Linked DNA regions of Macaca fascicularis. The protein of the gene in region 2 purifies or fractionates together with the protein of the main gene of each other region. This does not show direct contact. Links are inferred from orthologs where the notes say so. Each region holds a gene or a part of one and is shown on either strand. Other genes may lie near its edges. The genes, in order: NAP1L5, NAP1L1 and MAGED2.

Region 1 (3,487 bases), on a different chromosome or scaffold from region 2:
GGAGGGGCAGGAGGGAGGGAGAAGATGGTGGCAAGGAAAGGTGTGAAAACAGATAATGGGGAAGGCAGGAAAGCAGATGGTGTTGGGGGAAGCCCGGGAAGACGAAAGTGAGCAGGGTGGGATAGATGGCACACGCTTTAACCAAGATAAGAGGGGGCCTTGGCCCTGGGCCCCATGCTTTAGAGAGACTTGTTTTTTTCAGCCCTCCTCAAGCTTTAGTACTTCCCACAGGCCAAAGATTCTGTAGAACCTTCTAGAACACACACCAGGACACTGGGAGCTCTGAGATTTCCTACCCAAATGACTCCAAAACTGCTTCCAGGGGGGTCCTGCTGAGAGACAACCTTGCCACCAGGGTATGTGTCGCCAGGTGTGTGGGATGGCCAAGGGGGTGTTGGGTGGACACACGGGTACAGAGCTTGGATATGCAAGCTGCCCTATCCACACATATGCTCCCCAGGTCCCCAAAAGGGTAGAATGGAGCCAGCTTGCCCGTTCCTCCACTGCCTGGAGAGGAATGTGGAGGAATCTAAGAGGTGATCAAATGCCAGCTATGGAGAGAGATGCAGAGGTAAGCGAAGACATATGTACTAGCATTTGTAGAAGGGCCTGGATGGGGGTGAGGAGCACACGGAAAACGGGCTGAGGCCATCTACGCAGTTCCTGAAGCAGCACCTCGGGCAGCCACTGACACTCCCAGCCCAGCTCTACAGGAGGTGGGTACATGGGTGGGCTGGGAACAGGGTGTCTGTCCAACAGGCTGGTGTTGAGGGCCCAGGAGACGTCAGGGTAGCAACAGGAGGAATCTGGTGCAGTATGAGCGCACGGCCGTCAGCTGATAGTGGGGAGCCAGTCAAGTGCCGCAAAAGCAGGGGGCGGGGCCGCGGCCGACGTCATTCCCGCGGCCGCGCGTCACCGCCACTTGCCGCATCCGCAAGATCTCTCTGGACCAGCTCGGGTGCAGGGCCTCTGCGGGATCCCTCCTAGACCTCTGCGGCTTCTCCTCTAACATGGCCGACTCGGAAAACCAGGGGCCTGCGGAGCCTAGCCAGGCGGCGGCAGCGGCGGAGGCAGCGGCGGAGGAGGTAATGGCGGAAGGCGGTGCGCAGGGTGGAGACTGTGACAGCGCGGCTGGAGACCCTGACAGCGCGGCTGGTCAGATGGCTGAGGAGCCCCAGACCCCTGCAGAGAATGCCCCAAAGCCGAAAAATGACTTTATCGAGAGCCTGCCTAATTCGGTGAAATGCCGAGTCCTGGCCCTCAAAAAGCTGCAGAAGCGATGCGATAAGATAGAAGCCAAATTTGATAAGGAATTTCAGGCTCTGGAAAGAAAGTATAATGACATATATAAGCCCCTACTCGCCAAGATCCAAGAGCTCACCGGCGAGATGGAGGGGTGTGCATGGACCTTGGAGGGGGAGGAGGAGGAGGAAGAGGAGTACGAGGATGACGAGGAGGAGGGGGAAGAGGAGGAGGAGGAGGATGCTGCAGCAGAGGCTGCCGCGGGGGCCAAACATGACGATGCCCACGCCGAGATGCCTGATGACGCCAAGAAGTAAGGGGGGCAGAGATGGATGAAGAGAAAGCCCACGAAGAAAACAGCTTGGTTTTGTTTTTCCCAGAATATTGGTGGACTTAAAAAGGCTCAGGTTTTTGACCAAAATACAATGTGAATTTATTCTGACATTCCTAAAATAGATTAAATTGAAGCAATTAGATCCTGGCCAGCTCGATTCAAATTTTTCATTTTGAACATAATAAATATATCAAAAGGTGTTAAAGAAAACCGAATTAAACCCAAAATTATGTTTTCATGGTCTCTTCTATGAGGATTGAGGTTTACAAAGGGTGTTAGTAGATGCGAAGTAAAGAACGTCACTTTGAAACCCATTCATAACACAGCATACGCTACACATGGAACACCCAGGCCATGACTGAACACGTTTTCAGTGCTTAATTCTTAAATTTCTTTACTCATGACATTTCGCTGTGCAGAGAAGGCAGACCCCAAGAAAAACGTCATCTTTGAGACTTTGCTTTTGTAACGCAGACATCAGCTTTACACTTCACAGGAGATTGATGGCACTGAGGAAGACTGCAATGGAGATCATGACACTACTGTTAATAAGGCCAGGAAAACTGCCATTTCAAGTTCTGAAAAATGTTTGAGTATTTGAATTTAGAGAATAACATGGTTCCAAGAAGGAGGGTGTAAAACCTGTAAAATACTGTCAACATATGTATTCATTAGTTACAATCTCATGTTTGTGTTTTCTTAGTAGTGTCTATTTACAAAGACGTAAAAAATACCCCAAATATGTTTAAGTATTAAATCACTTTACCTAGTGTTTTAGAAATATTAATTTACTTGAAGAGATGTAGAATGTAGCAAATTCTGTAAAGCATGTGTATCCAGTGTTATGTACTTTGATCCTTGTGACGTCTTTCTGTCATGTAGCTTTTAGGGTGTAGCTGTGAAAATCATCAGAACTCTTCACTGAAGCTAATGTTTGGAAAAAATATATACTTGAAGAACCAATCCAAGTGTGTGCCCCTACCCCCAGCTCAGAAGTAGAAAGGATTTAAGTTTGCTTGTATTAGCTGTGCCTTCATTATTTTGCTATGTAAATGTGACATATTATAAAATGGTGCATAATCAAATTTTACTGCTTGAGGACAGACGCATACAGTAAGGATTTTTAGGAAGAATATATTTAATGTAAAGACTCTTAGCTTCTGTGTGGGTTTTGAATTATGTGTGAGCCAGTGATCTATAAAGAAACATAAGCTTAAAGATGTTTACCACTGTGGTGTTAATAAAACAGTATTTTCAAAAAAATATATATAAAAGTCTCGGTACTCTGACTGCCTGTATTCAAATCCCAGCTCTGCCTCCTATTAGTAATGTACCTTAGGCAACTCAGCTAATACTCTCAGTGCTCAATTTCTCCTCATCTACAAAAGGGAATAGGAATAGTCCCTTCCTCATGGGTTACTATGAAGAGCAAATGGATTAATGCATATAACGCCTATAGAATAGCATCCAAACCATGGTAAGCGCTGAATAATTCTTAGCTATTATTATTACATGAAAGATAAAGACAGTGATTGGAAATTCAATCCTCCTTCTCTCCTGTTACAAAATGGGAGAAATGGACATCACTACATCAATGCCTTCCCATGTTTCTGATTCCTTATTATGAGAGAAGAATGTGGCCTTTAATTCAGAAACACAGGAAATTAAATAAACTATCTTGTTTTGGTTTCCTCAACATAATATCAAGTTTTTATTATCTCCCAGAAAGGATAAAAGACTTCAATATAACATTAAAAATATACAAAAAAGGCTATTTCAACTTTGTTTGCTTCATTCTGAATGAAGCAGAGTTTTTTAAAAAAACTGGACTCCAAAAAAATTAAAAAATCAGATGCCATTTGCTTCATTTTCCCTGCAGGGTTAAAATTACAAAGAAGCAAAATTAAATTG
Region 2 (3,269 bases):
GTTCAGCAGTTGAAAGATTGTCAATTGTAATAGATTTTTCTTCTTTGTTTTGCAAGGTGCCAGATAGATTGGAAAAAAGGAAAGAATGTCACTTTGAAAACCATTAAGAAGAAGCAGAAACACAAGGGACGTGGGACAGTTCGTACTGTGACTAAAACAGTTTCCAATGACTCTTTCTTTAATTTTTTTGCCCCTCCTGAAGGTAAATAATGTTTTAGCGTGAGTATTAGTGGTTATTTTATAATAAGCGTTGTTTAGCTTCTTATTCATTGTAATTTCTTTTCTGAATTTTGCAGTTCCTGAGAGTGGAGATCTGGTAAGTTGAATTGTTATTTATTTATTGAATTGTTAACTATATTTGAAATTAAAGCACCGAATTTCAAGTGGAGAGTGGGATGGTTGTTACATTGAGTTCTGAGGCCTACAATGCATGGGGCAGACATTTTGGATCTGAAAAGTAATTCCATTCAGAATGATATCAGTGCCTCTACTGAGAAACACTGAGATAAAAAGCTTAAGGTTTTCTTTTCTTTTGAAACTTACAAAGCTGTGAGAGATTTAACTTTTCTTTCTTTTCTTTCTTTTTTTTTTTTTTTTTTGAGACGGAGTCTCGCTCTGTGGCCCAGGCTGGAGTGCAGTGGCCGGATCTCAGCTCACTGCAAGCTCCGCCTCCCGAGTTTACACCATTCTCCTGCCTCAGTCTCCCAAGTAGCTGGGACTACAGGCGCCCGCCACCTCGCCCGGCTAGTTTTTTGTATTTTTTAGTAGAGATGGGGTTTCACCGTGTTAGCCAGGATGGTCTCGATCTCCTAACCTCGTGATCCGCCCGTCTTGGCCTCCCAAAGTGCTGGGACTACAGGCTTGAGTCACCGCGCCCGGCTGAGATTTAACTTTTCAAAACTATTGTCTTCCTTAGTAAAACCAGAATGTATTAAGTCATTTATACTGTTATATTCCTAACTACATTATGGTTAGAATGCATTCCTGAATTTGTTACCCCAATGTAAATATGATTTCATATTGTGACTATGTATGTTCATATATATGGCATATGGCAGAGAACCATGAAATGTTCCTGCCATATAGCCTGAACTGAAGAACAACCTTAAAGTCTATACACGCAAGGTATGGCAGGTATGTTTTGAATTTGGTTTTCTTTTGGGCATGTTTTTGAATTTAAATTAACTGAGATAGTTTAAATAGTTTGTCCATATATGGAATTAGAAATTAACCTTAATTGAATACTTTTGAATTGGAATACTCTTGGCTAAGGCTTAGAACAAATCTGTAAAAGGCAAAAGTAAGTATTTCTGGCTTGGCTTATAGGACAAAAAAAAGAGAACATAAAGCAGTGTTGAGTTTCAGGTGAGAAAAACTACTTTAGTACTAAAGATAGAGCATCACACTATTTTCGTATCAGTGGATGTGTTGGAGTTTGTATTCAAGTTCTATTTTTTTTTTTGTTACTAAATATTGATGATGACAAAACAGTCTAGTTAAGGATAGAAAACCTCCACCTGTGGTTTGAATTCCTCCCCACCCCCTTTTTGGACTTTTTTATTTATTAGATTATGTTGTTGACTCAAACATTCATGGAATTCACAGAGGGCGTGCTCATTGTTTAGTATCATAGAACTTAAAGTGAGATTATTTATTTTATTATTATTATTATTGAGATGGAATATGGCTCTGTTGTCCAGGCTGGAGTGCAGTGGCGCAATCTCCACTCACCGGAACCTCTGTCTCCTGGGTTCAGGCAGTTCTCCTGTCTCAGCCTCCCAAGTAGCTGGGATTACAGGCGCGCACCACTGAACCTGCTAATTTTTTGTATTTTTAGTAGAGATGGGGTTTCACTATGTTGGCCAGGCTAGTCTTGAACTCCTGACCTCAGGTAATCCGCCTGCCTTGGCCTCCCAAAGTGCTAGGATTACAGGCGCTAGCCACCACACCCTGCCGAAGTGGAATTATTTTAATTGTAAATAATGCCAGACCCACTTTTACCCTGTGCTTTGCCATTAAATAGAAATCCTAAGCCAGGTACAGCTTCAGGCACCTGTAGTCCCAGCGGCTCTGGTGGCGGAGGTGGAAGGATCACATGAGACCAGCCTGGGCAACATAGCGAGACCCTGTCTCTAAAAAAGCAAAGTGCTAGGGGCAAAGGAAAATTGCAGACATATGTAACAATTGCTTTTGTGTATTTCTGTTTAAACCAGCAAAAACTAAGTAAACAGTTCTAATTTTTTATTCTTCACAATTTCTTAGTATGCATACTGGCCTGCTAGCTTTTCTTTTTGTTAAAAACTTGGAAAAGTTATTAAGGAAATTTAAAAATGACAAATTGTTTGTTAATATGGTGTGAGAAAAATCATGGAAAGTAAAGTTGAGCATTTCTTTCCTTCATCATGTAATTTAAACTGAAGAGGTTTTTTTTTTGTTTGTTTTGTTTTTTGTTTTTTTTCCCGGTTGCCCAGGCTAGAGTGCAGTGGTGCGATCACAGCTCATTTCGGCCTCAAGCTGCTGGGCTGCAGCAATCCTCCCACCTCAGCCTCTCAAGTAGCTGAGACTACAGGCATGTGCCACCCTGCCCAGCTAATTGTTTATTTTTTGTAGAGACGTGGGGGTCTCACTGTGTTGCCTAGGCTGCTCTCGAACTTCTGGGCTCAAGTGATCCTCCTACTTTGGCCTCCTGAAGTGTTGGGACTACCGGTGTGAGCCATAACACCCAGCCTCTAAGAGTCTTACATTGCCACGTTAAGTAACACAGTTATTCCTAAATTTTCTGCTTTTGTTTTCCTTTAAAAATAGGATGATGATGCTGAAGCTATCCTTGCTGCAGACTTCGAAATTGGTCACTTTTTACGTGAGCGTATAATCCCGAGATCAGTGTTATATTTTACTGGAGAAGCTATTGAAGATGATGATGATGATGTAAGTGAATTTGAATCCTGCAAAGAAATAATTGGGTGAGGGTATGGTGGTCAGAATTGGTAATAGATGAGTTTAGTTTTTAAGAAACAGGACATAATATAATTCAAAATTAGGCTAATTACTGATGTTCTGGATATAGCTTTTCTGGGTTTTCAGTATGTCTCCTTAGGATTTTTGGATTCATTTAGCTTTTGATTCTCTGCTAATAAGATTGTTCTGAGTTTGTGAAACTTTTTTATGTTTGGTTAGTGCTATAGATGTATTATGCCCTTGCCTTGACTTCACAGAACTAGGACTTTTCTTAGTGCACAAGAAAACATTTACTGGGAGGCATAGAATTT
Region 3 (3,752 bases), on a different chromosome or scaffold from region 2:
GTGAATTTATTATGTGATAGAGGTGCCATTTCAAAGCAGAGAGGGAAAAGATGGATTAGTTTGCACATGATGTAGGGGTAAGAGACTATGATTTTGGAGAGTAATCAAGCTGAATCCGTATAGAAAATAAATTTTGAAATGATCAAACATCTAAATGTAAATAATAAAGCCACAAAAGTGCTTCAAGGAAAAAAAAACGGGGATTGTTATAGGAACATGAAAAGCATCTTTAAGCAAGCAGCAGGATCCAGTTGTGATGAAGGAAAAATGGATATATTTGACTACATAATAATTAAACATTTTTGTTTGGCAAAAATTATCATAAATAACATGAAAAATATTTGTAATATGTGACACGTACACGAGAGACATTGCTGGTGGGAACGTTATTCCATGTACTTTTTAGGAGTAAGTTGACAAATTTTGTATCTTTTGTTATCAAAATGGAAGACGTTTTTGTAGCATTTGAGCTAGCAAAAAATACCCTAAATAAAAAAAAAGTGCCCCAAACAATCTAAATGTACATGTGTGCTGGACTGGTTCAATAAATTATGGGACATCTATACAAGAAAAGATCATGCAACTGTTTAGAAAAATGTGCACTAACGGAAAGATTTTTTATATATAACTGGAAAAAAACAGGTCGCAGAACAGAAGGTATGTATAGTGTACCATTTGTCGGAGAGAGAACCTGAATAATTAGTATACGAATAGAAAAAAAATCTGGATAGCAAAATGTTAATAGTGGTTATTTCTGGGAGATAAGAGTGGCCTTTCATTGGTATGTTATATATTACTGCATTGTTTTAATTTTTACAACAACAACAACAAAACAACAACATATTACCTTTGTAATAAGAAAAAATGAAGATATAAAAAGAAATTCAATGAATGACTTTCTTTCGGGGGCGGTTTGGGTTGGAAGAGTTTCAGACTGAGCCTGGTACAGTGGCATAAACATGGGCTTTGGCGTCAGACAGCCCTGAGCAGGGCCCCATTGCCCCACCCCCGAGGAAGGCGAGGGGGGGTGGCAGGGGGCTGCGGAAAGGGGCTGGGCTGGGTTGGGCTGTCTGCAGCTCTAGTCCAGGAGGCTGAGACTTCGAGAGGGACTTAGAGAAGGCAGACGCATCCCGAACTCGCTGGAGGACAAGGTGAGGTGCGTTGAGATTGGGGTTTTATGGAGGTCATAGAGTGGTTCCAGACCCCTCGAACCCATAGCCAGGCAGATGAGCAATTCTTACTGCACCACTGCAGCTGAAGCAGAGGTGACCTGGAGTGGTGTGTAGGCAATGAGGACGACTGAGAAAGTGGTAGGCTGTATAGACTGGGAGCAGAGACGAGCGGAGGAGGAGGGGAGAAAAACGGGGAACCAGGAATGTTGGGAGGGGGACGAGGAATACAAGGAGGGAGGGGAACACTAAGGGGGAGTGATCCAGAGAAGAGAATGGGGATGCAGAGAGAGGTTAAGGAATACTGAGGGGCAGGGTGTGCAATCGTAACACGGAGGAGGATGTAAGGAATGGGAAGAGGGAATTCTGGAGTAAATAGAAAATGTGAGGTGGGAATAGGGAGTAAGGAGCCAGGCTAAGGGAATACGGAGGGGGGCATAAGGAATGAGGAGCAGGGAGCGGGGGAGGGGCAGACAGGCTGGGACGGAGGCCCCCTAGGGAGGCGGAAAGGGGCGGGACCACTTCCGGCCTAGAGAAGGGAGGGCAGTCTCTGAGTTTCGGAGGGGCTTGGAGTGAGTGGACGCTCTCGGGAATTGTAGGAGGACGAGGTGAGCAGCCGGGCGGGCTTTTGGATGAGAGCCCCGCTAGGGGTCGGCCGCACCCTCTGGGATCTGGAGAAAACCTGTCATGAGGATCGGATCGTACCGGATCCATCCGGCTGGGAAGGGAGGGGACTGGACCCGGTTTGACCGGGCCCAAGATGGAATCACTAGCTTAATATTTATTTGAGGAGGGGGTGTAATAGGGAAGGGGCGGAACCAAGATGCGCCTGTTTGGAGGGGGGCGTGTTAGGAAGAAGGGCGGGGCCAAGAGACACTGGACTCGGTAGGGCGTGAGTAGGGGAGGGGCCGGGCCCACCAGACACTGCGACAATTTTGGAGGAAGGCTTCTTGGGCAGGGGGCGGGACCGAATGGTACTGCGGACCTGGAGAGGGGCGTGTGTCGGGGCAGAGTGCCAGACTGAGACCACGATCATTGCGCATGCGCACTATGTATCGCTGAAAGGGGCGTGTTGAGAAGGGCCAGCACTGAGACGAGCCAGCTGCTGAATGCGCATGTGCACGGTGGACATCAAAGAAAGGGCTCGTGCTGGGAAAGCGGGCGGGGCTGAGAGCGGCCCTGCAGCCGACGCGCATGCGCTCTATCGACCTGCGGCTGGGTGGGGGGTGCACTGGGAAAAGGGGCGGGGTCCTCAGAGCTGCCGCGCTGGCACATCTTCCTGGAGAAGGGGAGGGTGCGGCTGCAGACAATTGAGACTTAGAAGCTTTGGATTCCTGTATCTGAGAACGGAGTCGTTGTGGGTGGTGGAGGGGGTTGGAATTGGGGACCTACGGAAGGTAAGGATCAGCCTCCAGGCACAACAGGGGAGAGGACGTTCAGTGGGCTTCAACTTGACCCAGGCCTTCTCCTCTTCAGGCTCAGCTCTTGCCAGGCCAAATTGAGACATGTCTGACACAAGCGAGAGTGGTGCGGGTCTAACTAGCTTCCAGGTAAGGCCTCTTTCTGTCCTTTCCCCAGCTGCTTTTCCTCTCCAGCCCTTGTTGCTGCCCTAAGTCCCTTGGCTCTTCTCCTCCCATCCTTGTCCTTCTCCACCTACTTTCCTGCCTGGGTGTCCCCCTGCCCAGTGGAGGGAGGGAGAGAAGGTGGGCGGGCCCCTCTTCTGCCTTCAGTTCTTGCTCAGAGGAAAGGGAGGCCTTGTTCGGCTGAGGTGGTCAGAGCACACCGCAGGTACGAGTACAGGTCAGAGAAGTGTGGCCTTGGAATTTTGGAACCATTTGCTTAGTTGGGGGTGGGGAGAAGGTCTGTGAACTTCCCTGCTTCCTCTTGCAGGCTGAAGCTTCAGAAAAGGACAGTAGCTCGATGATGCAGACTCTATTGACAGTGACCCAGAATGTGGAGGTCCCAGAGACACCGAAGGCCTCAAAGGCACCGGAGGTCTCAGAGGATGTGAAGGTCTCAAAAACCTCTGGGGTCTCAAAGGCCACAGAGGTCTCAAAGACCCCAGAGGCTCAGGAGGCACCTGCCACCCAGGCCTCATCTACTACTCAGCTGACTGATACCCAGGTTCTGGCAGCTGAAAACAAGAGTCTAGCAGCTGACACCAAGAAACAGAATGCTGACCCGCAGGCTGTGACAATGCCTGCCACCGAGACCAAAAAGGTCAGCTGTGTGGCTGATACGAAGGTCAATACTAAGGCCCAGGAGACTGAGGCTGCTGCCTCTCAGGCCCCAGCAGATGAACCTGAGCCTGAGAGTGCAGCTGCCCAGTCTCAGGAGAATCAGGATACTCGGCCCAAGGTCAAAGCCAAGAAAGCCCGAAAGGTAAGACCTCTGCAGTCACCACCCTTCGTTTTCTACTCCTCTCCTCTCAGTTGGTTCATTTGTTCTACAAACATTTCGAAAGATCCCTGTGCTCATCAGGGCTGTGGGGGGCACTGAAAGTAATGTGATGTAATTCTTGTCTTCAGAGAGCTTGCAGACTGATGGGGAGATGAGACAGGAATACACATAGCTGCAATCTGA

What was found.
Region 1: the proteins of NAP1L1 (region 2) and NAP1L5 purify together in Homo sapiens (affinity purification with mass spectrometry; 3 studies listed by BioGRID and IntAct, counting the BioPlex papers as one, with this or other methods). This does not show direct contact. The link is inferred for Macaca fascicularis from reciprocal best matches to the Homo sapiens genes NAP1L1 and NAP1L5.
Region 3: the proteins of NAP1L1 (region 2) and MAGED2 purify together in Homo sapiens (affinity purification with mass spectrometry; 4 studies listed by BioGRID and IntAct, counting the BioPlex papers as one, with this or other methods). This does not show direct contact. The link is inferred for Macaca fascicularis from reciprocal best matches to the Homo sapiens genes NAP1L1 and MAGED2.

What each region holds. Positions count from the first base shown.
Region 1 is NC_088379.1:94,243,469-94,246,955, reverse strand, and holds NAP1L5 (nucleosome assembly protein 1-like 5), read left to right. Parts: upstream 1-927; 5' UTR 928-1,010; coding exon 1,011-1,559; 3' UTR 1,560-2,839; downstream 2,840-3,487.
Region 2 is NC_088385.1:82,887,846-82,891,114, reverse strand, and holds part of NAP1L1 (nucleosome assembly protein 1-like 1), read left to right. Parts: intron 1-56; coding exon 57-202; intron 203-296; coding exon 297-316; intron 317-2,805; coding exon 2,806-2,928; intron 2,929-3,269. UniProt on the Homo sapiens protein: Histone chaperone that plays a role in the nuclear import of H2A-H2B and nucleosome assembly.
Region 3 is NC_088395.1:54,796,898-54,800,649, forward strand, and holds the start of MAGED2 (melanoma-associated antigen D2), read left to right. Parts: upstream 1-1,093; 5' UTR 1,094-1,156; intron 1,157-1,721; exon of another isoform or gene 1,722-1,777; intron 1,778-2,414; exon of another isoform or gene 2,415-2,566; intron 2,567-2,645; 5' UTR 2,646-2,674; coding exon 2,675-2,719; intron 2,720-3,059; coding exon 3,060-3,551; intron 3,552-3,752. UniProt on the Homo sapiens protein: Regulates the expression, localization to the plasma membrane and function of the sodium chloride cotransporters SLC12A1 and SLC12A3, two key components of salt reabsorption in the distal renal tubule.